Linked DNA regions of Drosophila melanogaster. The protein of the gene in region 2 interacts with the protein of the main gene of each other region in a pairwise test. Each region holds a gene or a part of one and is shown on either strand. Other genes may lie near its edges.

Region 1 (7,155 bases), on a different chromosome or scaffold from region 2:
TCCTCGCCGCAAACAAAACTAGTCACAACAACGTGGAGCGGAAGCCAGCAGCCCCAAAGTGAACCAGTTAACATACAGAGATACGGTCTGAGGTAAAGACACTCAGAGAAAAACGTTTAAAAAAATGCTTAAAATTTATGGTGAATTTCCAAATATAAAACAAACAAAATTGAAGTGAACTATCAATTTTAGTGCAATTGTCAAAAAGAAAAGGAAAAGTGGGAATGACTATAACTTTAACTAAAGCATCGTTCAAAAGCTAATATAAACAGTGAATAACATATAGCTCTAAAACAGCTTAAAAATATTCAGTTATTTGTAAGATCCCTTCCTCTCTTAATATCGTAAAAATAAACCACCTTTTTTCTCTGCAGAAAGAGAGAGCTTTTGGAATCAGGAGCAAGTTTTTTCAGAGCCAAAGTGAACGTAGCTTTCGGCACGTTCGAACCACCACACTCGTTTGATTCATTGCCAGCGAGCCACTGAACCGCCTCGCATTCCGCGAATACCAAAAAAAAACAAAAAATCCGCCGAAATGCTGCGGACCTTTGCCATTCTGCTACTGATCGCAGTTTACAGCCACGCAAGAGCTGCGCCACAGAAAACAACCGTTTCGCCGGAGTATGAAGCCACCGAGGACGTGGACTCCTCCACCTATATGTCCGTGGAGGAGAGCACCATTACGGTAGATGTCGACTCGGACGTGATATTGACCACCAATCCTGAGGGGGAGGCCTTCACCGAAGCCAGCCCGATAGTTACGACGGAGGAGCCACTTCCGGATTCGGTGGTGCAACAGCTTGAGATGGAGCGTGCACAGGAGGAGGAGCTCAAGAATCCCGAAAAGCCGGAAGATGACCTCGATTCGGACTCGGAGGAGGAGGATCAGACCACATCAACAAGTACTGAGCAACCAAAGTCTGAAGTTTCCGAGAGCACCACCAAGCGGAGCTACAAATTCGGAGCTACCACACTGCCACCGAATTTCATCACAACCACTAGAAGAGTGGAGATCACCACTATTCTGCCACAGGACGGAGCCACGACTCCTAATGCTGAGACCGAGGAAACCACCGTCAAGGAGGAGGTCAAAACCATAAGGAACTACTTCGAGCGGAAGCCCGCACATATGGAAGAGATTGAACTGGACATGGCCGAGAACCGAATGGAAACGACCACAAATGAACCCCTCCATGAGAACGTAGAGCTTTCCATGATTATGACCACCGACGCCGCATTGGTGGAAGAGGATAAAAAGACCGGAATTGAGACTGATCAGGCAGAGACGGTGGAAACCACAGTGGTGCCTGTTTACCAATACGTTAGCAATGCAGCTCCTATCGTCACTGAACCACAACCGGAATCAACTACGGTGGTGCCCACAGTAAAGGAAGAGGCAGCCACCACTGAGGGTGCCATTGAGGAAACTACAGGTGTGTCTTTAATCTAAAAATATATTTGTGACTTATTTATTTACGAAACCCATTTCCTTGCCAACAATATGTTAACTAAATACATATTTTTTTCACAGAACTGCCACTAGTTTTGTCCTCTGCATTTAAACCCACCAGTGAGGCTGAGGAGACCACTGAAACAGCTCCAAGCACCTCCACTTCAACCACCGAGACTGTTCTGATCACCACCAAGGTGGGAACATTGGAGAACTTCCAGCCAGAGACCACCACGAGTGCTTTGGACACAACATCCACTACGAGCACCACTGAAGCTCCAACTACGACGAGCACCACAAGCAGCACTGAAGATCCAACTACAACGAGCACCACTGAGGCTCCAACTACGACGAGCACCACTGAAGCTCCAACTACGACAAGTACCACCAGCACCACCAGTGCTCCAACCACAACCACCACCACAGAACGCCCCATTCAGACGCGAGCTCCGCGTGTGGAGCGAATCTTCAACTCCGACGGAGTGGAGGTGCTCTACGGATACTCGTCTGTGGTGCGGACCAACCGCTCGTGAGTGGTCAGCACCACACGACCTTGTCAAGGTCGGACAACTTGCCATTATGTGGAGATTGATGCTCGGGTTGTTTTAGGCAATTTTCAATTCTAAACGAGTTATAAACAAAAATATTTAAATTTTATGCGACGATCCGCACAGTGTGATAAACCAAAAAAAAAAAAGAAAAACAAATAACGATGCGTAAGAAGATATCGATGGAAATACAAATCCGCACAGACATTAAACAAAACAAAAATAATATTGTGCAAAATTTGTGAACGGTCTGCCAAATGACAAAAATGAGGAGAAATGCGTGAGATAAGCGATTTTATAAATTATAAATAAAACATGAACACCCATCTTTCGTTTTGTGTTTGTTTTGGCGATTGCACAAAGCGTTAGTAGGTATTTTAAACATTGTTGATCCGAAAATCGATCTTCAAATGGGACATAATATTGCCGCAACGAAACGTGATTGGCTGAGGTGATCCAAAAGATACCCTCTAATAGTAGCAGAGGGAAAGATAATTTAAATCATGTTTATGTAGGGTCTATTCCTAAAATTGAATATTCAATATAGAGTTTTTAATATAGAGCATTCAATGTAGAGTATTCAATATAGTATAGACTTCTTTCAAATCTAATTCACTGAATATGAATCATTTTGTATATTGTTCGAGCAGCGCACCCAAGAAATCAAGTCAAACACAAGCTCAGACATTCAGCAGCCCACAAGCTGATCGCTGCCCACCTGCAAAAAAAAAAATAAAAAACAGAAAAAGAAAAACCGGCAATCTCCTCAAGAGTTGTCGTCATACATTTTTGGGCTTTATGTTCCGGCATGGACGCAGTTAGTCCGATGGACAGACACGTGGACCAGTCAAGCTGACTGGTTTGGTGTGGTCAGGTCTGCAGGCTTGGGTCGCCTGGCAGATTATTCATTCATCGATCGGCTTGTGAAAATCCATGAATCCATGAAGAAGCACAGGGCTTTTTTGGGGGTTTTGCAATGAGTATCACGTTTGCTATGCCTCACCCTCGATGGAATTTGAAAGCAATCGGCTATAAAACAAACACCAAGCGCTAATTTCCATTTGAACTTGAGCGGCAGTCGCTAAACTGCATGTTGAATATGGTTCGAATGAATGCGGATCGAAGGTTTTGGCGATACGGGTTTTTTTTTTTTTGGCCACTTAACTGGCCTTTATTTACTAAGCCAACTGACTTAGTAAGCTCTAGGTCGTGGGATGTACCGATATCAGGCAGTTAGTCATAAGCTTAACGGGATGAAGAAAAATATATATATTAAGATGGTAACCACAATTGCAGAAATGAAATTAATAGATTAGTTATTTCTATCATAACATTGAAGTAATTTCTCTATCTCTCCATTTTCCTTGCTTATGAATAAATTTATCCTGGACATTTAATGACCCAAATTACTACAGTAGATTGATTTGTAAAACAAAAAGATTCGCAAATATTTCTCACTGTATGCTTGCTACAGTAAGCTCTGGCTATAAAAGCTTCATTCGCAGAAAATAAAAACAACTTCTGTTACAGCCGAAAACTATGCCACTTATATATTTAAGCTCTAGTTAACCATTGTTAACAAGTTAAGTAGACTTATTTTTGCTTTCTTTGTTTCATTATGGAAATTAAGTTGTCATACGAAAAAAAAAAAACACAGGATAGTGGGACATCCCACGATGAAATTATATGCACTCTGCGCTATCCTGCTCCTTGCCATTGTGGCAGTCCAAGGATATCCTGGTATACACGGTGGCTTTGGACACGGAGGACACGGTGGACTCAGTGGCTTGGGAGGACTTGGCGGCTTAGGAGGACGCGTTGGTTTCGGAGGACCCGGTGGCTATGGAGGACCCGGTGGCTACGGAGGACTCGGTGGCTACGGCGGACCCGGTAGCTACGGCGGTGGTGGTGGAGGCGCAGTAGCCACTGCCAACGCTAATGCAAACGCAAACTCAGTTGGTTACAGTCCGGGTGCTTACTACGGATAAGGAATGATGATAACAGCAGTCCAGAAACGGCAATTGCTTTAAAAAATAAACAAATGCATAATTATTGCATAAAGACTAAGACATTTTTCTATTATTACTTTTGCCAAACGTTATCAACACAATGGCCTTACCTTCTATGTATAATATACTATAAATATAAATTTATTAATTTTTAATTATTATTTATTAAGTGAAGAATATATATATAATTTTCGGGTTCAAAAGTTGTAATCACCGGAAAAGGAATTTTGTATAAAATGTGTAAACAGAAGCAAATCTAAGGACTTACATGATAAACTAGTTTTTATAGCTGATTATCATAATGAATTTATCTGAGCTTTTTTACAGCCTGAAAATATACTTTACCAAAACATGGCTTGCCAAAGCTAACCAGTTTTCAATTATTGATAACATAGTATATAAGCATATACTATACATATAGGTAATATTAAACGTCATGCGTTTTTAATATATGTCTAATTAATGTGCTAATCGAAGCCCCCATATATATGCCGATACAATATCGATTCTGTGATTTTTTTTGTTTTTCAGATAAACAAGTCGTCCACCTGTCACGGATGCTGGTATAAAAGAGGCCAGCACGCGATCACAAAACATCGCAATCTCTAACGATGAAGTTCCTGGCTATCTGCATTTTTCTAATCTTCGCCCTGGTGGCCGTTCAGGCACATCCTGGTGGATTCGGCGGATTCGGTGGAGGCGGTGGTGGCGGTGGTCGCGGTGGAGGCGGTGGAGGCGGTGGAGTCGGTGGAGTCGGCGGTTCGAACGCAGTTGCCAACGCGAATGCCGCTGCAACCGCCGACAGCAGAGGAGGCGGCCCAGCTTCCGCCTCGGCCTCGGCCACTGCAACCGCCAACGCCAGCTCCGGAGGAGGTGGAGGTGGACATGGCAGACATGGATAGGCTCGAAACGGATTCATAACTGTACTCTCGAAAAGTGGGCACGTCCGCTGACAGACCTACTAAACTGAAACCAATACCAATACCAATAAATATTAAAATGCTAATTCTGTTTTTGGAAATCCAAGATGTTGTTTTCGTATATTAGGTTAATAACCAGTTTATGAGTCGGGCATTATTTATAGATCTAATGACGTCAAACAAGATTTCTCTAGCCTCCTAAAAACAGACTAAGTTAACAGCGGGAGCTAATATTAGAAACTATGTTTTAAAATGTATCTAACAACTTGAATTACAACTGAAAAGTATGCATTATATATATATAGTTTTTGCAAATAGTTAGTGCATCTCAATTTTAATTTAATTTATTTTTATATTTAAAATCATTAAGCTCATTTCATTCATCATTTGTTTGTACAGCTTACCCGGAAATCCAAACAATTTGTGAGTTTTTTTTTTTTGTGTGATTACTTTTTTTATGTAATTAAGTAATTGCATTTGCCACCCACAACAAGTCTTGAATTTGGCCACTTACGGAGTGACACACTCAATTTCAGCAGGTCTAATAAATCGAAGATATTTTTTCACAAATGAAGTCCGACGTCTCTTGATATATTGTCAAGCTTCTTAAAACTCGGGTTTGCAATATTTAAATTTGCAAATTATCAACATCTGGATAAGTTTCTACGTTTACGGTAGCCAAACCTTTCCGAAATAAAACTAGTTTTATACCCCTTAATCGTACAGTAATAGGGTATGCTAGGCTTATTAGAATGTATGAAACAGATAGAAGGAGCATTTTCAATCTATATTGCATTCAGATTTTAGGGACGTTGCACTTTTGAAAAATGCTTTTGATATTTTTTTGTTTAATTACCATTTTTTCCTATCTATTGATGTGCCAAATGAACTAGTTGAGTAACGGGTATCAGATAGTCGAGGAACTCGGCTATAGCGTTTTTTCTAGTTTTTAATTCTAGCTAAATTATCTACATATTATTATCATAGTTAATTTTTGCACTAATCAAAGCACACAGTCTGCATATCAATGATGTTTTCGAAATGTCTGTTCTTTTCTGTTGCTCTAGAAAGTGGAACACACATTATAATTATAATTTGTAAATCTAAAGAGTAAAATATTTTTCTTTGTTTATTCCAAAAAGACTACAAACATTTTTACAAAATACGCTTTCAATGTATGAATTGTAATTTTATCAGCCTAGAACAATTTTGCGACTGAATCATTTCATTTATATTTTCATAATAGAAATGCATAAATTCGAAATAAAATATTATCAAAATATTCTTGACAAAGCATTCCCCTGGAAAAAAAAATGTAATTGGATGTGTGCAAAAATGCACATGTTCTTTTTATGCACATTCAATTTAGTGGATCTATACTTAAAAAGGATTCTGTGTTAGTTTTCCTTGTTTGCATGGACCTCATTACTGTGATGACATGCCTTTCAAGAATTACAAATGTTCATAGTTTTGTGTTTTTTATTTTTATTTTTATAAATATTAAAAATCTACTCAGTGAATAAATTCGGATCTGTTGGCTTATTTGCGGAATGCGTTGGCGACGGCATTGGCGTTAGCATTAGCACTGCCACCTCGGGTGTTGGCATTGGCATTGGCGTTTGCATTGGCATTACCACCGCCAAATCCTCCGTCAGAGTTGGCGACAGCATTGGCATTGGCGTTAGCTTCGGAGTTACCACCGAATCCTCCTGGTCCTCCTGGTCCTCCGAATCCTCCTGGTCCTCCGAATCCACCCTGTCCTCCGAATCCACCCTGTCCTCCGAATCCACCCTGTCCGCCGAATCCACCTTGTCCTTCAAAGCCACCTGGTCCTCCGAATCCACCTTGTCCTGGCCCTCCGAATCCACCCTGTCCTCCGAATCCAGGGCCTCGTTCCCCGAATCCTCCTCCGAATCCGCCTTCCTTCTGGAAACCAGGTCCGCTGAATCCTGGTCTTCCACCGCCCTCACTCTCAGCATTTGCGTTGGCATTTGCGTTAGCATTGCCATTATTAAACTGCGGGGCGGCACTGGACACGGCCAGGATTACGGCGAGAACGACAAAGACCTTCATGGTGATCTGCTTGATCGGAGTGACTGAACAAACTTAATGGCCAATGCCCCAGGGCCTGGTTTTTATAGTGGCCAGACGGCAGGCAGACGCAAACAAACAAAAAAAAATAAAAAAAAAAAACAATAATCTAATCTAGCCTCCGCTTTCGGATAAAA
Region 2 (7,199 bases):
GGAACTGGCGCGGCGGGGCTGCAAGCTGGCCGTCGTTGATGTCAACTCCAAGGGATGTTACGAAACGGTGGAGCTGCTCTCCAAGATTCCACGCTGCGTTGCCAAGGCCTACAAGGTGAGTTCACTAGCTGCTTGGATATTTAATGGTTTGATAACAAGAATCTTTATTCCAGAACGACGTGTCATCGCCTCGCGAGCTTCAACTGATGGCCGCCAAGGTGGAGAAGGAACTGGGTCCCGTGGACATTCTGGTCAACAATGCCTCCCTCATGCCCATGACTTCAACACCCAGTCTGAAGAGCGATGAAATCGACACAATACTGCAGCTCAATCTGGGCTCCTACATAATGGTGAGTGTGTGCTTCTGAAAATGGGACAAATATAAAACTTCTTGATTTTGCAGACCACCAAGGAGTTCCTGCCGAAGATGATAAACCGCAAGTCCGGTCATCTGGTGGCAGTAAATGCCTTAGCGGGTAAGCTTACTTGGTTAAAGTGCTTACCACTTCATTGATACCTATGTATATATAACTCGCATTTAGGTCTAGTTCCACTGCCAGGAGCGGGCATCTACACGGCCACCAAATACGGAATCGAGGGCTTCATGGAATCGCTGCGAGCTGAGCTGCGATTGTCCGACTGTGACTACGTTCGCACCACGGTGGCCAATGCCTATCTGATGAGGACCAGCGGAGATCTTCCACTGCTCAGTGATGCGGGGTAAGATTGGTTTATAGTTTGGGCAGATCACTTGGTCTCATGCGGCTACTACATTTAGCATTGCCAAGAGCTATCCCGGACTGCCCACACCATATGTGGCCGAGAAGATTGTCAAGGGCGTGTTGCTGAACGAGCGCATGGTGTATGTGCCAAAAATATTCGCACTCAGTGTATGGCTGCTCAGGTGAGAATTGAATTAGCCCAGGTAACCAGCGATTATTTCTAACGATTATTGTTGTCGCCTTGCTTTAGACTGTTGCCCACCAAGTGGCAGGATTACATGCTGCTTCGCTTCTACCACTTCGATGTGCGCAGCTCCCACCTGTTTTACTGGAAGTAGGGCACAGGAGAAGGCACATCCCCACCCAGAAGCATTTACTCCTGTTTGTTTCCCAATTGCAGTTCTTTATTCAACTGTTGCTTACGCTAGGTGTACATGTTTAGCTATTTATACGAATCTTTAACTTAAATTAAATCTATATCCTAACATTAGAATTACGTCCGGTTGGCCTTTCCTATTTTATTTCGTATAAGCCGAAGTTGTTCGGAGTAGCACATCCTCTCGGACTGCTGGACGCAGGACCTCCGTTCGTAGTGCCAAGTGTAGTTCAAGTGGCATCGATGGACCAGCTTGGAGCCACTGGAGCAGTAGTAGAAGTAGGCGCAGTTCCGTGGATGTGGCATAAAGCCATAGACTCCCTCCTGGCAGTTGATGATATTCTCTCGCGTTTGCATGCGATTGCAGGACACTAGATGAGCAGGAGTACAGGCCTTGGCCAGTCCAGCCCCCTCGTAGCAGACCATATAAGGATAACATGGTCCGGCATTGGGTAAAAGTCGCAGGGTAATCGCCAATGGTTCCGCTTTCTGAGCTGGCTTCTTGACCATCGAGGGGGATTTAGTGGTTATGCCTACGGGATCCCGGCATCTCGACACCAACTTTCGATCCAAACAGCGTTCCAATTTTTCGTCGTAGTAATGACCATCCAAGCACTCGGCCTCAAAGGATCCTGGACCGGCACAATATATGTATTTGGAGCAATTGCTAGAGCTGGCGACATAAACTCCCAATTGTGGAGCACTGGCACACTCTTCGAACTCCAGGGCACTGGATCGATGACCCAGCAAGGTCACCAAAATAATTGTTAAGAAGGTTACAGCTCCCATTTCATTTATTTTTTTAACGACCGAAATAGCGGGATGACTTCTGTAGACTGACTTCATCGATGATGGGTTGAGTATATTTTTGCATGTGCTCCAACTGATAAAGAAGACAAGTTATTCCATCGATTACTACGCTGGTTATCGTCTGGTAGATACCGCTAATGAGCACATGGCAGTAACTGCCACGCCCACTCTGGGCGGTCTCGGTAATTTGCATTTTCGTAGCATACTTCGCAGCAGCAGCAAAGCAACCGAGTATTTAATGATACCACACCGCAGCATAATGCTCGACTGGGCGCCGGTTCAATAAAAATTGAAAATGCACTCAATTCGCAATTAAGTGTCGCCACTTCCGTACGGACAAGCGGACAAACGGACGGACAAGCGGACAAATGGACGGATAAACGGACGGATGGATGGTCGTCGAACGATACCATTCAGGCCATTCAATCCATTCATCGCAGTCATCCTCATTATTATTTCCATCGTCATCGTGGTCGTTGCTGGTCGGAGTTAAGCGATGGCCATCGATTTAATATCCGATGAGATATTCATAACTTGCAATTAGGTTTGGTGGCTCTGCGCTTTACGTAAATGATTGCGTAGCCGATTAATGAAGAATTACCAGTGCAAATGGCTGGGATCTGTGGGCATTATCCAATTGACCAACTACCATGCTACCCCACTACCATTACCATTACCATAATGTGCAATGTGCCAATTGGGCTCAAATTAAAAGTTTTATTAATTGTCAATTAAACGCTGTCGCCCAGCAGCTGCTTTGTGGCATAATTTTTGGGTCAATCTGCATATCTGATTAACAGGTTATACCGCTCAGTCTACTACATATACCATGCACCAGATGCCGCGGGGCACAGACAACAAGAAGTAAAAGAAAGGACCCCATATGGTGCCGACGGCTCAAGTGATTAAGTGCACGACGAGATCTTCAAATGCAGTGCAACATGTGCACAAATACAAAACACACACACACACACACACACACGCATATTGAAAATGTATGTAAATTCTAATTAAGATTGTGGATGAAGACCCCCAGCACCTTGATACTTCTGCTCAATGCGCATTGCGCATGCGCAGCCCCGCATCCGAAGATCCATAAAAATAGCTCACTAATTATTTGTGTGCTAGGGTTACAGTTCTCATAAAAAACAAACAAACTGTCGGGCGTTTTATGGATCTTCTGCCTCTATGGCCTCAATGCCCCCGCGAAGTTTTCGATCCCCATTCGATTCGAAACCGAAGAAGAGCTACGACCAATCACTTTTCAATTCCTATGAGCAGTTGAGCATCAATTGATTTCGATATGAAAATAAAATACATTTATTTATTATCACATTACGTATCACAGCCATTCGCCCGCCTACGCCCTGGCATCTGGATCGCCACATCCATCGTGCGGACCTTGTGCCGGCATTTCCGAGCTGATTAGCCTCCGAATCTCGACCAGAACCCGGTCCGTTCGAGCCTCCAGGTTGTCGAGGGCGGTGTTTAGGTCATCCAAGCTGGAATTGACTCTGGCCATCAGACGCTCCGAGTTGTTGGTCAGCTCGATGAGGTCATCGAAACTGCTGGCCTGGCGACTCTCCATCGATATCCTGTCCAGATCCAGCTGCAGCTGCTCATCGGCGCTGTCCATCTGGGCTTTAAGGGCTGGGAAAACAACTTTCGATTTAAATTTAAATTTTTTTCACCCTAAATCATGATTTTCGGTGTTATTTTGTGCCATGCGATCCGAAGTGTAAAGCAAATTTGACTTGGTTTGTTTTGCTATCGAACATAATTAAAGTTGCTTACCATAAACCAATTTAATTTAATTGTAATTGCAGCTAACTGGCTTTTGGGTACTTTTGCTTTTAACGCCAAATGTGAAATATTAAGTATATTTTATTTAAGCGATGGCACCTGTAAATTGAGATTTAAGGGGTATATTAAATGGGTGAACTTGATGATTTTTTTTTTTCATCAAACGTTTATTAAAGTCTATTGCTTAAAAAAATGAAAGTAAATTGCTTGCCATTTTAGGAGGATATTTTTGAAAAATCGTTACAACTTTTCAAATACAATAAATTAAATGTTTTGAAAAATATTTGCGCCCAGGGCACCAGAAAGTCCACTCTTCTTTTTCGACTATTGTTTGTTTTGCTTTGTTTGTAATTGGCGAGCTATTACAAGAGCTACACTCGTTCATTTCATTAAACCCATTTACAAAATGGCTTTGTCCATTATTTATACATATCAATTATAAATTTGTGCGCTGCGACTGCAATATTCATATTCACTTGTCAAAATGTCAACTCAAAATAGAATATTTATGAATTTTTATGTGTGCATATCGGTCCGTGATTTGTTTGTTTTACGCTCTCCTTTCGAGAACTCTTTGTTAGCATTCAGGATTGGGTTGAAGTAAATAATAAAAAAAATGCAGCAACCAGAAAAGAGGAGAAAATGACAATTCAGCCTATAAATACGCGGCGGCAACCGAAGTTGAAATCAATTTTTTTGGCCCCATACTGCGGTGGTCGCGTTCCCCCCCACCCCCGCACCAGTTTGGTACTGAAAATTGGAAGTGGGCTCCACCGAATGCGGTGCCACTATTTAGTTTAGCCGCAGAACAAGGTGCCTCAATTTATTTTTAATTGCATGCAAATTGAGCCAATCGGCCGGCTGATGGATGTGGTTGCTTGTCCAACGATGCGGTCTTTTTTTTCGGCTATTAAGAGGATGGACTGCTGCTCCTTTCTGTTTCATCTGCTGGCTTAGGCATTTTCACTTAATGAATTTTCATTCAAAGTGACTGCTGCAAGGATGTGTCGTCCTGGCTGTGAAGTGAACTTCCTGCCATTAACCGAACTGCTGCTGCTGCTGCTGCCAGCATGGTGGCCAAAAAGTATGCCTCTGTTGACGTTTTCTTTGTGGTTGGCTAAAATCTGTTATTATTGCCATTAAGCTGGCTTTTGTTGTCATCTCTCCGGCCTGCCTACATACGCATACACATACATCTATGTATGCATATGCATTTGTGCATTTACCCTGCCGATATCCTTCAGCTCGAGTGGTTGTGTGGATTTTCCTGGTCTTCCAGCGGGTTAACTTGGATCTGTTCTTGAGGTTGTTATCACTTGGTTATTGAATTTTCCGCACACACTTTACAAGCTCTAAATCTAAACGGCTCAACTTGTTGCCGCCGCCCAGTTTGAAAACGTTTTTGTTACTGCTCGTCGTCATTAGTTGAAAAGCGCTCTTAGTTTGCCTCGTTTGTTTGCCGAAAAGTCTCATTGTTGCCACGTCTTTGGGTCCGGCTTCTTCTGGTTCTGTTGTTGCTGCATAACGCAGCCTGTTGTTGTCATCAGGTTGCATTTGCGTTTTACACTGTTTTGCCCAAATAAAGGCATATAATTTATGTGTGTGGTAGTAGTCCTGGTCGTTGTGCCACGTTGAATGTCCTTACCGAGCTTATATCCGAGCGGAGAATACTAAGTGAGCTGCAGCTCCATTGTGGTCCATAAACTTTGTCACGCTGTGTAGCCTCTTCCCTGGCTGCCGGCACTGGTTGTGGCCATCCTGGCCGAAGGACACTGCTTTGGAGGCGATTGCTCAGGCAGGACATGTGTGCCCCGCATCGCTGCCCGTTATTGTTTTCCAACTTTTCACTTTGGTTATGAGATGTCCGAGCGCCGCAGTCAGTTGCACGCTCGCCTCCATCAGCGTCGTCTCCATTCTCCATGCCGCTGACCACAGCGGACAACGTGGACTTTTTGACCAAGCTGGTCGTGTTCGTGCCCCGAGTGGCATACACGGCAAGAAACTATTAGGGAAGATTCAAAAAATTATTGAAGAAAACAAACTGGAACAAACTGGAATGGTGCCTTACTTGGTCTAACCATCTGTCTACATGATATATATAACATAACATAATTAGGAATACCCATTTCAAAGTGTAAATCCTCAAGATTGCATCTTAGCTCAATATTTTCTTAAGCACAAATCTTGACGTGCATGCAATTCATCATAATAATCCCTTCTTTTTTTTCCGCAGTGGAAGGACGTGTGTGCTGGTGAGTGCTGTTATGCTTATATCCTGCGGCTTAAGCATTTGTTGTTTTACAACGTTTCAGTCTGTTTGCCAAGTAAATAAAAGCTGTTAACTAGTTTTCACACACCGAAGCCGAAAAGGTGGCGGCAGGCGCTTGGAATCGCATCGGATTGGGATGGTTTGGAATGGGCTTGGCTGGGATTACATGGTTGGGTTTTCCGAGACGAGCTGCAACACGTGCTGGACAGTTTTTTGCTCGGCTCGTCCTGTTTCACTTCCTGTGCCTCGGCCAGTGCCATTCTAAATGCTTTTGTGCGTAACACTCGTGTATGAGCAATTATTTAATGCCGTCCGCTTGTCATTGTTGTCTTTGGGCCCAGAGTGTTGCCTTTGTCTTGGCCCGAACAGTAGTGGAAGCCAGTACTGGCAGTGGCAGTGGGCCAAGTCAGCTACAGCCGAGTTGTCTTTGCCGTGTCTGCCCCTTTTGTGTCGCTCATTTATTTGTGTTTATCCTTTCGCTTTTAATTGCGGCTCCGTCCTGCTCCTGCAGGACCCTCCTGCCACCGCCGCCGCCCTTTGTGTAATTACAAGTGTTTGTTGTGTAAATAATAGCGTTAGCTGCCTGGGCCGAGTACCATCGTTGACGCATCGTTTGCATGCTCAGTTAATGCCGTGCATCAGGACATCCTCCATTGTCCCTATTCCACCATTCCGCCGTCTGTGTGTTTATCTCTGTGTGCGAGTCTGCTTCTGTCTCTGTCTGTGGCACGCAAAATTAATTACAAGAATTAAGCAGCGCAACGCCCGATCTGCCGGCATTGACACAGGTGTTTTGGCCGCCCGCCGTAACGTATTTTCCTTAGATAATTCCCACACAGCTCGACAGCCATGTGCTGCACCTTGAACTCGAACTTAGACTAGGGGAAATGCTGCTGCACGGAAGAAAATTCAAAGTACTCGAAGTACTAACTACAACAATCCCACATAGAAAGTGAGTTTTGTGCTTCTAGATACCCTTTTAGTTTCATAACATCCATTTTTTCTGTGTGAAACTCCGAGCATTTCTGGAGGCGGGACATTAATTCATTCACCTAGAGACACTTACATGTGGTGCCCATTAGCTCGTTGCCACGCCCCCGTGAAAGGCGAAAGGCAAATGCCAGCGAGCCATGCGACGCCAAAAATTTCCATTTCGTTGCTTGAACCGTGCATAAATATGTCAATAGGGATTATCCCATCCCGGGCGGCAATAAAATCT
Region 3 (9,383 bases), on a different chromosome or scaffold from region 2:
GGTGCTGTCGAGTATGGCATCACCAGCGATGATCTGTTCAGTTTGGACCGCGAGCCCGGCAAGACCCTGGTGGTGGGAGCTGGCTGTAAGTAGCTACTTTCATTTGCTTACATCAAATTGATGAATAACCCATTCGGTTTCTGCTCTTTCACTCAGACATTGGCTTGGAGTGCGCTGGATTCCTGAAGGGTCTCGGCTACGAGCCCACTGTGATGGTGCGTTCTATTGTGCTGCGTGGCTTCGACCAGCAGATGGCCGAGCTGGTGGCAGCCTCGATGGAGGAGCGTGGCATTCCCTTCCTCCGCAAGACGGTGCCGCTGTCCGTGGAAAAGCAGGATGATGGCAAGCTGCTCGTGAAGTACAAGAACGTGGAGACCGGCGAGGAGGCCGAGGATGTTTACGACACCGTTCTGTGGGCCATCGGCCGCAAGGGTCTGGTGGACGATCTGAACCTGCCCAATGCCGGCGTGACTGTGCAGAAGGACAAGATTCCAGTGGACTCCCAGGAGGCTACCAATGTGGCAAACATCTACGCTGTCGGCGATATCATCTATGGCAAGCCAGAGCTGACGCCCGTCGCCGTTTTGGCTGGCCGTTTGCTGGCCCGCCGCCTGTACGGAGGATCTACCCAGCGCATGGACTACAAGGATGTGGCCACCACCGTTTTCACGCCCCTGGAGTACGCCTGCGTCGGCCTGAGCGAGGAGGATGCCGTCAAGCAGTTCGGAGCCGATGAGATCGAGGTGTTCCACGGCTACTACAAGCCCACGGAGTTCTTCATTCCCCAGAAGAGCGTGCGCTACTGCTACTTGAAGGCTGTGGCCGAGCGCCATGGTGACCAGCGCGTCTATGGACTGCACTATATTGGCCCGGTGGCCGGTGAGGTTATCCAGGGATTCGCTGCCGCTTTGAAGTCTGGCCTGACTATTAACACGCTGATCAACACCGTGGGCATCCATCCCACTACCGCCGAAGAATTCACCCGGCTGGCCATCACCAAGCGCTCCGGACTGGACCCCACGCCGGCCAGCTGCTGCAGCTAAAGCGGGAACGCAGCTCAGCCGCCTGGGACGTGTCGAAGCCGCTTGCTCCACCCGAAATCCCGTAGATGAATGGTTGTTGTCGCGGCCCAGCGATCGATGAGTTCAATAGTTCCGTTTCGTTTCCACAATTAACACCCAACACAATAGCTCTGCGCAAGGGAGGGGCACTGGGCAGCGATGGCGGGTGGAACGACACCAGTGGAACTACCCGCGCGACCAGCCCAACCCACGACTGCTGCGCCGCCGACATGCACTCAAAATTTTGAATTTGTTTGAACCTATGAAATTAACTATGAAATCCCCTAAATGTACGGTTGAAGAATATAATTTTTCACCAACAAACCCCTCTGTGTTTCAGTTCTGTGCATTTCCTTTAAAACATACCTCGACCTTTAGCCCTTCCTCTGCCTTTTCAATCAAGTAAGTTCATTAGCCATGCAAATGGCTTGACTTGACCTGGCTAAATCGATTCTGTCTGCCAGCCTGACAACTTGTTAGCCACCCGACTAATTGCTAATGCCATTGCTAGGGGAATCTTTGCCCTCGAGGGCTATAAATCAGCTACGAACGATGGCACCCTGGAGATACATATATCAGTGGGTAATAAATTATACTTTAGTTTTCAAAGGAAAAACAGTGCGTGATAAAGTGTAATAGAAGCTACGAAAAGGTTGAAGTTTATGACCTAAGGAATCCTCGCAAGCAAATCAAAATCAAATTAAGACAGTAAATTGATGCAATCAATTAATGAACAGCAAAGAGAATTCAATAGCTTCTATAAGGAATTAGCATTAATCATATATGTATGTATGGAACACTTTCGAGGTGGTATCTCCGATTGGATGCCACGAAACAAAGCGAGATGGCTATACTATGAACCAAGCGACTTGGAATAGCCCAATATACCCATAGTGAAACCCAACCCATTGATAAGTCGCTGTTGTGATATTTTTTCTATTACATTTTTATTTTGGTTTTCCTATTTTTCGTATTGAATAACTCCTTTGTTTTGAACAACGTAAGACTTTTTCATTTACAACTGACGCAGCGCTGGCGCCTCTGCAGCCGCCGATCGTGCTCCTCATCCCGCTACTGCGCTGGCTCTTCCCGCGGCTCGTCCTGGTGTCTTTGTGTCCGTTAATTAGTGGGCGAGTGCGGCGCGAAAGGACGAAGGGCAGAGTTTAAAAAAAAACATTAATTAGTTATTAGTTTAGATCAGACGCGAGAGTGGGCGCCTAGATAGCCACACTCTGCTTGGCCTCGTTCTCCCGCTGCTGCTTGTTGACCGCCGATATGCACTTGGCCATGGTGGGCGAGGCGCGCGAAATGGCGTCGGTCATGAAGTAGTCGCGCAGCTCCTTTAGCTTAATATCGATGGCGCCACCGCCGATGGATTTGCTCTGCAAACAAACAAACAGTAATAAATTACAACTTTCAATGGAGCATAATTTCAACTTACAATAGTGCCCGCTGCTCCGGCATCGCCGGCTGGCTCCAATTGGCCCAGGCGCGTTAGATGTGGCGCCACATCCTCCAGACGGTTGCGCAGCTCGTCCAGGTTGTCGTACGGCAGCGGCTTGCCCACCACCTCGGACAGAGCGCGCAGGATCTTCCAGTCCTCGCGAGCCATACCCGGTGGCGAAACACCAGGCAGCGTCTGCTGCGGCCTGCCCTCCGTGTTCACGTAGATGCCCTGCTTCTCTGTGTAGGCGGCACCAGGCAGAACGGCATCGGCAATGGAGGCGCCGTTGTCACCATGCGATCCAATGTACACCACGAAGCAGTCCTTGGGCAGCTGCTCGCGAGTCACCTTGCCAGCGTCGGCGTTCAACAGGAACAGCACCTTGGGCTGAGCCTTCACAGCGGTCTGTGCACCGGCCTTGTAGCCCACATCGAGGGCGCCCACCTGGGCGGCGTTGGTCTGCAGCACATTGAAGGGGTTCCAGTTCTGTAAGCGAAGCATGAGATTAAGCAGGAATTCATGTGAGCAAAGGGATGACAAACTTACCGGCTTCTTCAGCTTCTTGCAGTACTCGGCAACGGTGGCGTGAATGGCGGCACCATCGGCACGCTCCAACAAATCGGCTCCAATAATGATGGCCGGCTTCTTGGCACCCTCCAAGACCTTGGAGAAGGCATGAGCTCCGGAGCACACGTCCTTGACTAAAGCGGCATCGGCGCCAAGGTTCTCGTGGTCGTAGGACAGATCGATCTTGGGTCCAATCGAGGCAATCTGCAGTTCGTTGTGCACATAGGCCTTGCGCAAACGGGTGTTGACCAATGGAGCCTCGTAACGGGGATTGGTGCCCACCAGGAGAACGGCGTCGGCCTCCTCCAAACCGGCAATGGTGCTGTTCAAGAGGTAATTAGCACGGTTGTCGGTGCCTCCGGCAATAAATCCTTGTTCAGTGGCGACCACTTCGCTGCCCAGACGGTTCAGCAGATCCTTCAGGGCCACCTGAGCCTCCAGGTCGGCAAGTTGGCCAGAAATACCGGCAATCTGTCCACCGGCTGCCTTAATGGCCTTGGCCACGGCGATGAGGGCACCCTCCCACTCTACGGCCTGTAGTTCGCCGTTGGGCATGCGCACCATGGGAGCCACCAGGCGCTGGCGCTTCAGACCGTCGCAGGCGAAGCGCGATTTGTCAGCAAGCCATTCCTCGTTGACGTCCTCGTTCTCACGGGGCAGGATGCGCAGCACCTCATTGGTGCGGGTGCTGACGACAATGTTGCTGCCGACGGCGTCCAGCACATCGATGCTGCTCACCTTACGGATCTCCCAGGGACGGGCCACAAAACTGTAGGGCTTGTTGGTCAGCGCTCCCACGGGGCACAGGTCGATCACGTTGCCGGACAGTTCGGTAAGGAAGAGCTTCTCCACGTAGGTGCCGATCTGCATGTCGTTGCCACGGCCAGTGGTGCCCAGGTCATCAACGCCGGCAATCTCGGAGGCGAAACGCACACAGCGGGTGCAGTGGATGCAGCGTGTCATGATGGTCTTGACTAGCGGTCCGATGTCCTTGTCCTCGACAGCGCTGTTAACGCATTAGGTAGAATTCAGTTCAGGTTATGGAAAAGGAACTTTATGGATTATTCTCCTTACCGCTTGCCCGTGTAGTTAATGTCCGTGAAGCGGGATCGATCGGAACCGAAGGCCATGGCCTGATCCTGCAGATCGCACTCGCCGCCCTGATCGCAGATGGGGCAATCCAGCGGATGGTTCATCAGCAGGAACTCCATGACGCCCTCGCGCGCCTTGCGGGTCAAATCCGAGTTGGTCTTGATGCGCCAGCCCTTCATCACGGGCATAGCGCAGGCGGCCACTGGCTTGGGACTCTTCTCCACCTCGACGAGGCACATCCTGCAGTTGCCGGCCACCGCAAGACGTTCGTGGTAGCAGAATCTGGGTATCTCCACGCCGATCTGAGCAGCAGCCTAGGATTTGCAGGGCATAGGGGATATGGGTTTAGAAGGCACTTCCCGCGAACGAGGGACTGGAAACCAACCTGGAGGACAGTGGTGCCGGGTACCACCTGCACGGGAATGTCATCCACAAAGACCTCGATCTTCTCGGGCGCTTTCGCCGGTGTCTGGGCCACCATGGCGCTGGTTCGCACCGCCCGGCTGGCCATCTGATGTGTGGGCGAGCCCAGAGCGCCCAGCGCCTTGACTAGCGGTGCCCGTATCATATTTTCTGCAACGAGATGGTAACCAAAAATCCGTTGCAATCGGAGGAGCCAATAAAAATTACATAAGTGTTTTGGTACGCTGGTTGGCACAACACTCCCGCATATCGATTGTTCGCGATTCGTGTGCGTTTTCGGAGTCAGCTCCTCCACTGCACCGCCATTTGCCACCTGAATGGGGATCCTGGAGGATGCCAAAAGTGGGCGAAGACCTACCGAAATGCTGGAAAATATTCCTGTGATCTTTTAATGTGGAGACAACTTTTTTTTTATCGGATTTTGCTTTGACAGACCGACCGCGTTGCCAACTGCCGCGTTGACAGCTGGTCAATCGCAATAGTTTATCGGTTTTTAAATTTATTCCTTAAATATAAATTTATGTGCGACACCAATTTATAAATCTCCGAAATTAGTTTTCTATTCAAAAAGTATATATTTGATATTGTTACCTGCTTCGATTACCACCTTCAAGTTCAAGTGTTACTGTAGTTGGCAACGCTAGTGAACAGCTGTTCAATTTGTTTGGCCATTCACTTGTGAGCGAACTCAGTATCAAGCTTCAAATCTCAAATCACAGATGGAGCCACTCAACTAATTTATTCGCGCTCTCAAAATTAAACGAATTTTTAAAACTTATTACTTCAAATTAAATATAGTTCACTTATTTTATTTAAGTTCAGAACTGTATTGTAAATATTTTATTTTTGTTCTTGACTTTAAATGATTTGTTGTTAAATATTTGACAGTTTTGATAGAAGTTTTTTTTGAAGTTTTTACCACGTAAAATTAAATGTTTTGTTTTATTTTCAGTTCTCTTATCAGCTAACACTCATACAAACGTATGTGCGTACTTATGTATATCTGGCCAGGATCTTTTCCGCTTCATACGAATTAATCATCGCATAAATTACCGGCTTAAAAGTGCAGCGTTATTCTCGTTACACAGAGAGAAATTTGGTTTAATTTTTTGCATAAGATAACACTTATCAGTTGTAAACAGAGAACAGAATTGAAATGATTTAATGATTTGTATGTAACAATACTGCAAATAACACATATAATATTAAGCATGCCAAACGCTGAAAATTAAGACTTCCAATCTTAAATAAACTAAGCGATTTAGAACTCATACTCTTTTGAAACAATTACTCCAAATATTATTCTACACATCATCTGTTTCATTTCTTCGGCGCGTGTAGAGTGGGCAAATATTAGGCATCAGAAGACTGAAAACTGGTTGCGACAACTTTCGTTGCGGCCGCCGAAGAAGTCGCCCCGTTTGGGCCAAGTTAGTTAGCGTTTTAGCTCCGCTCGAGACGGTCGTGCATCTTTTCTCATCGCATCGGCACTCAGATCCCAAAAATTCCCCCAAATCGCGCATTTCCAGCATACGGAGTGCATCACTTGGCGATATATTCGAAAGAAAGAAAGGTGCGCGCATGCGCATATGGAAAGCGGCAAAAGCGGCAAAAGCGGCGGTCGTGTGTTCTGCAAGACGGAGCGTGAAGTGCGGCATTGTTTGCATTTAATATATATAAATATTATATATACACATATGTATTTATTTTGTATTTTGTTTTGTTTGTATTGTGTGCCTCTGCCTAAATGCGGATAAATATGCGGAAAACCTAATCCGCCAAAAAAAACGAAACAAAAAAAAACATAACAAAAAAGCAGCTGAGGAAAAACAAAGATCGCAACAACTGGCGACGTCAACTGGCCATATCGATTGCAAGCCAAGCGGGGCTGTGTGACACTTTTCCGCGGCGCAGCAAAACAGGTTGCCATCATAGCCAGCCATTATAGTCGTTTTGGCCAGCACCTAGGGCTGCTTCACCTGCTCGCCAGTTTACCTGGATCACCGCCTGGCTAATTTGGTGGGCATGCTGTCCACTTTGTTTCGCCTTCCATAACGAAAGCAAGCGGGGAAACGCTGAAAGGTTTTGCGAGTGGCGCGAATCCGCGATAGCGGAGCAGGCGCAGGACAGCTCGAGATCCGTATCCATAGCGGGAGCCAGATCGAGATCGGAGCCCAGAACCAGGATGTCGGACATATACTACTGCAGCAACAGCCAGGTGAGTTCTAGTTCAAATCAATTACGCGTGGCCGCTGTCAGGAAATGCGGCTAATTCCAGCGGCCAGTAGTTAAACTTAATCAGAGGTCTGAAAGTACACATTTCTCCGGTTCTTAATTGGATTATGAGGCGAACTTGGAACTTCTCTTTCTTCGCGACTGGCCAATATGGCAGTAAAATTCTGCATGGCCTGGGTATGATTAATTAAATCTGCGAACGCTGTTATATGTCTAATTAAGAATTAAGAAACTAGCACAGTTTTCTGGATTCCAAATGCACATAAACTACCATTTCAATTTGATTTACTTTTACTAGAAAAGTTTGGAAAGCCATGCTGATCTCAGTTCGTAACTTGCCAATGCCTTAGATAGTTTTTTAGATAGAAAATCTAGTATCTCGCAGATACATAGATATTGAGTGGCAAAAGCAAAAGGACCTAAGCCTCTCCCTGCGCCCAGGGGCCAAAATCAAGTGCATTGTTTTGGCCATTTCCCAGACAATAGTGAAATATATCCGCGGATTCCTGGAGGCCATTTACCATAGCATTACCCATTGCCATGCCTTTGGAAATGCCTTTCGAAATTCCAAAAAAATCCGATGGGGCTGCGATTATCTGTGGGGATTCTTGAAAGGGCAACAACACTCGCTGGTTATTTGGTCATTTCGGTTTTTTTGGTTTTCGTTGGCTTATTTTTGGTCACTCGGCTTAAACGGCTTTCCAATCGCTGTCATAATTGGAAATCGTTGAGCTGCCATAATTAATGAAACAAAAGTAAAAGCGTCGCGTTGTTTGGCTGTTTGGTTTTTTTTTTATATGTTTTTTGTCGTGCTGCGGATTGGCATTATGCAATAATGCTGCACTACTAGACGGCGATATCGGTAACCTGCTAACGATTTCCAATCTGCAACGGGATCGCATCCACAGTAGTCGTCCGCGCATGTACAGTGGCCACTCGTGTTAACGCCCTCTTGCGATCGCACACTTACTATTCCGCTCATTAGAGTAATCAGTTGTATGATCATTCATATTACACAGCAATAAAATGTTACAATACTCACCCACTTCATTGTGCATTCACTTCTAATAACAGGTAAAGCAGCAGCTTAAGTTCGAAAATGAGTTAATTTTAAGCAAAATGTAATGGTAGCTTAAAATGTATTTAATATAGTAATTTATAAAAATTGCACTTGAATATTTTGTATATTTCTATTGAATCATAGACTTATTTGACCGCTTTGCTTGCATTTTGGCCCACTGTGTGAGCTTTGGCTACTGCTAAGTTTATGGAAATTACAATGCCACGCCCCCTTTTCGTAGCTGGGGGCAGCAGCATCCCCACACACACACACACACATGCACACGCACACATGCATAGAAAGAGAGCAGCGACTTGAGCTGCGTTTAAGTGAAAGTGCGTCCCGTTATAAGCCAATTTTGACTTAGTAACTTACTTTTGCCGCTCGCTGTTGTTGTTATTAAAATTGTTGATTGTTGCTTTTGCCGCGGGCGCTTCGCTGTTAAAATCTGGCCCGCCTCAACGAAAGAAATCAAAAGTTTGTCACACTGCAAAAAAAAAAGTGGTGACTTAACTTAGGGACTAAACTTAGATATTTAACAAGAAAGTTATGTAGAATCCCAAATGGTTGGCTTTTCATTAAATTACGTATAGAACTTGATTTGCATTGGCGTATTGCTTACAAATTGGAATTGCTTCAAATTAGACTCTTATTTCTTTCTGTGCATAATGCGTTGTCGTCTTCTGCGTCTTCGCAAATCTTCAGCTCGCTGCGATTTTAATTTGCAACTGTTTTCTTGCAAAAATGTCTGTTGTTTCTGTTGCTTTTCTTTATTATTATTATTTCCCTCTTGTAATTTGTGTCTTGTTTTATTTGTTTTTTTTTCTTTTTGTCTTTCGCATTTTGTGTCTTGTATTTTGTATTTCTCCCAGCAATCAGCAACTGTTTTTTTTTGGTGGCATGTATAAATTTGTTTGTGAAATGAGTCGTTGAATACTTTGGACGGGTGTTTCTCTTTCTTTTGTTGTCTCGCCTGATGAGAATTTTTCGAATAACAAAATATGTCGTTTCTAACAATAATAGTGTTAAGTTGCTGGCTTGAAAACGAATATGCTATGCTCTACCCTTGAAATATTCAAAAGAAGTTGCTAGCAGATTGATGATTTTGTTATTGAATTAAGTTGAGATTTGAAAAGCTAGTAACTTTTAATATCTAAAAATTAAAAGAAGAAGAGTGTTTGTTATGTTTTAAAAAATCCATTCCAACAAATTGTCTCCATTAAATGTTGCGTTCTAATGGGTTCGCAATTGAAACCAAGGCCATGGACTACGAAAAAAAAACTGCATGTGAAAGACATTTGTTAACGGTATTATTCACCACATTTTTGGAACCAAGGCTTTTCGACCAAAGTTTGACCAAAGTTTTTCTCGCTTGTTAGTTGTTTATTGTTGTTAGTTGTTGCTTGGTCGATGTTGCTTGTTGCAGGGCGTGTGTGGCTTAAATAGGGCCTCTACCCCCCCTCCCTCTTACTGTTGTAATTGTTGTAATTGTTGGTGTTGG

Evidence for each region. The genes of interacting proteins can lie anywhere in the genome.
Region 1: the proteins of CG13838 (region 2) and CG17107 interact in a two-hybrid assay, tested with the Drosophila melanogaster proteins (one large-scale study listed by BioGRID).
Region 3: the proteins of CG13838 (region 2) and ND-75 interact in a two-hybrid assay, tested with the Drosophila melanogaster proteins (one large-scale study listed by BioGRID).

What each region holds. Positions count from the first base shown.
Region 1 is NT_033779.5:10,677,373-10,684,527, forward strand, and holds CG17107 (uncharacterized protein), read left to right. Parts: upstream 1-4,593; 5' UTR 4,594-4,618; coding exon 4,619-4,909; 3' UTR 4,910-5,156; downstream 5,157-7,155. Other genes in the region: CG17104 (uncharacterized protein), read left to right, coding at 536-1,433, 1,532-1,983; CG17105 (uncharacterized protein), read left to right, coding at 3,675-3,986; CG7299 (uncharacterized protein), read right to left, coding at 6,467-7,000.
Region 2 is NT_033777.3:23,038,678-23,045,876, reverse strand, and holds CG13838 (uncharacterized protein), read right to left. Parts: upstream 3,637-7,199; 5' UTR 3,545-3,636; coding exon 3,269-3,544; 3' UTR 3,208-3,268; downstream 1-3,207. Other genes in the region: CG17121 (uncharacterized protein), read left to right, coding at 1-115, 174-350, 404-476, 543-720, 779-904, 973-1,060; CG13837 (uncharacterized protein), read right to left, coding at 1,216-1,887.
Region 3 is NC_004354.4:8,246,652-8,256,034, forward strand, and holds ND-75 (NADH dehydrogenase (ubiquinone) 75 kDa subunit), read right to left. Parts: upstream 5,037-9,383; 5' UTR 4,946-5,036; intron 4,801-4,945; exon of another isoform or gene 4,738-4,800; 5' UTR 4,733-4,737; coding exon 4,550-4,732; intron 4,479-4,549; coding exon 4,147-4,478; intron 4,079-4,146; coding exon 3,052-4,078; intron 2,992-3,051; coding exon 2,503-2,991; intron 2,444-2,502; coding exon 2,279-2,443; 3' UTR 2,000-2,278; downstream 1-1,999. Other genes in the region: Trxr1 (thioredoxin reductase 1), read left to right, coding at 1-85, 157-1,043; CG1632 (uncharacterized protein), read left to right, coding at 6,773-6,805. UniProt on the Drosophila melanogaster protein: Core subunit of the mitochondrial membrane respiratory chain NADH dehydrogenase (Complex I) that is believed to belong to the minimal assembly required for catalysis. Complex I functions in the transfer of electrons from NADH to the respiratory chain.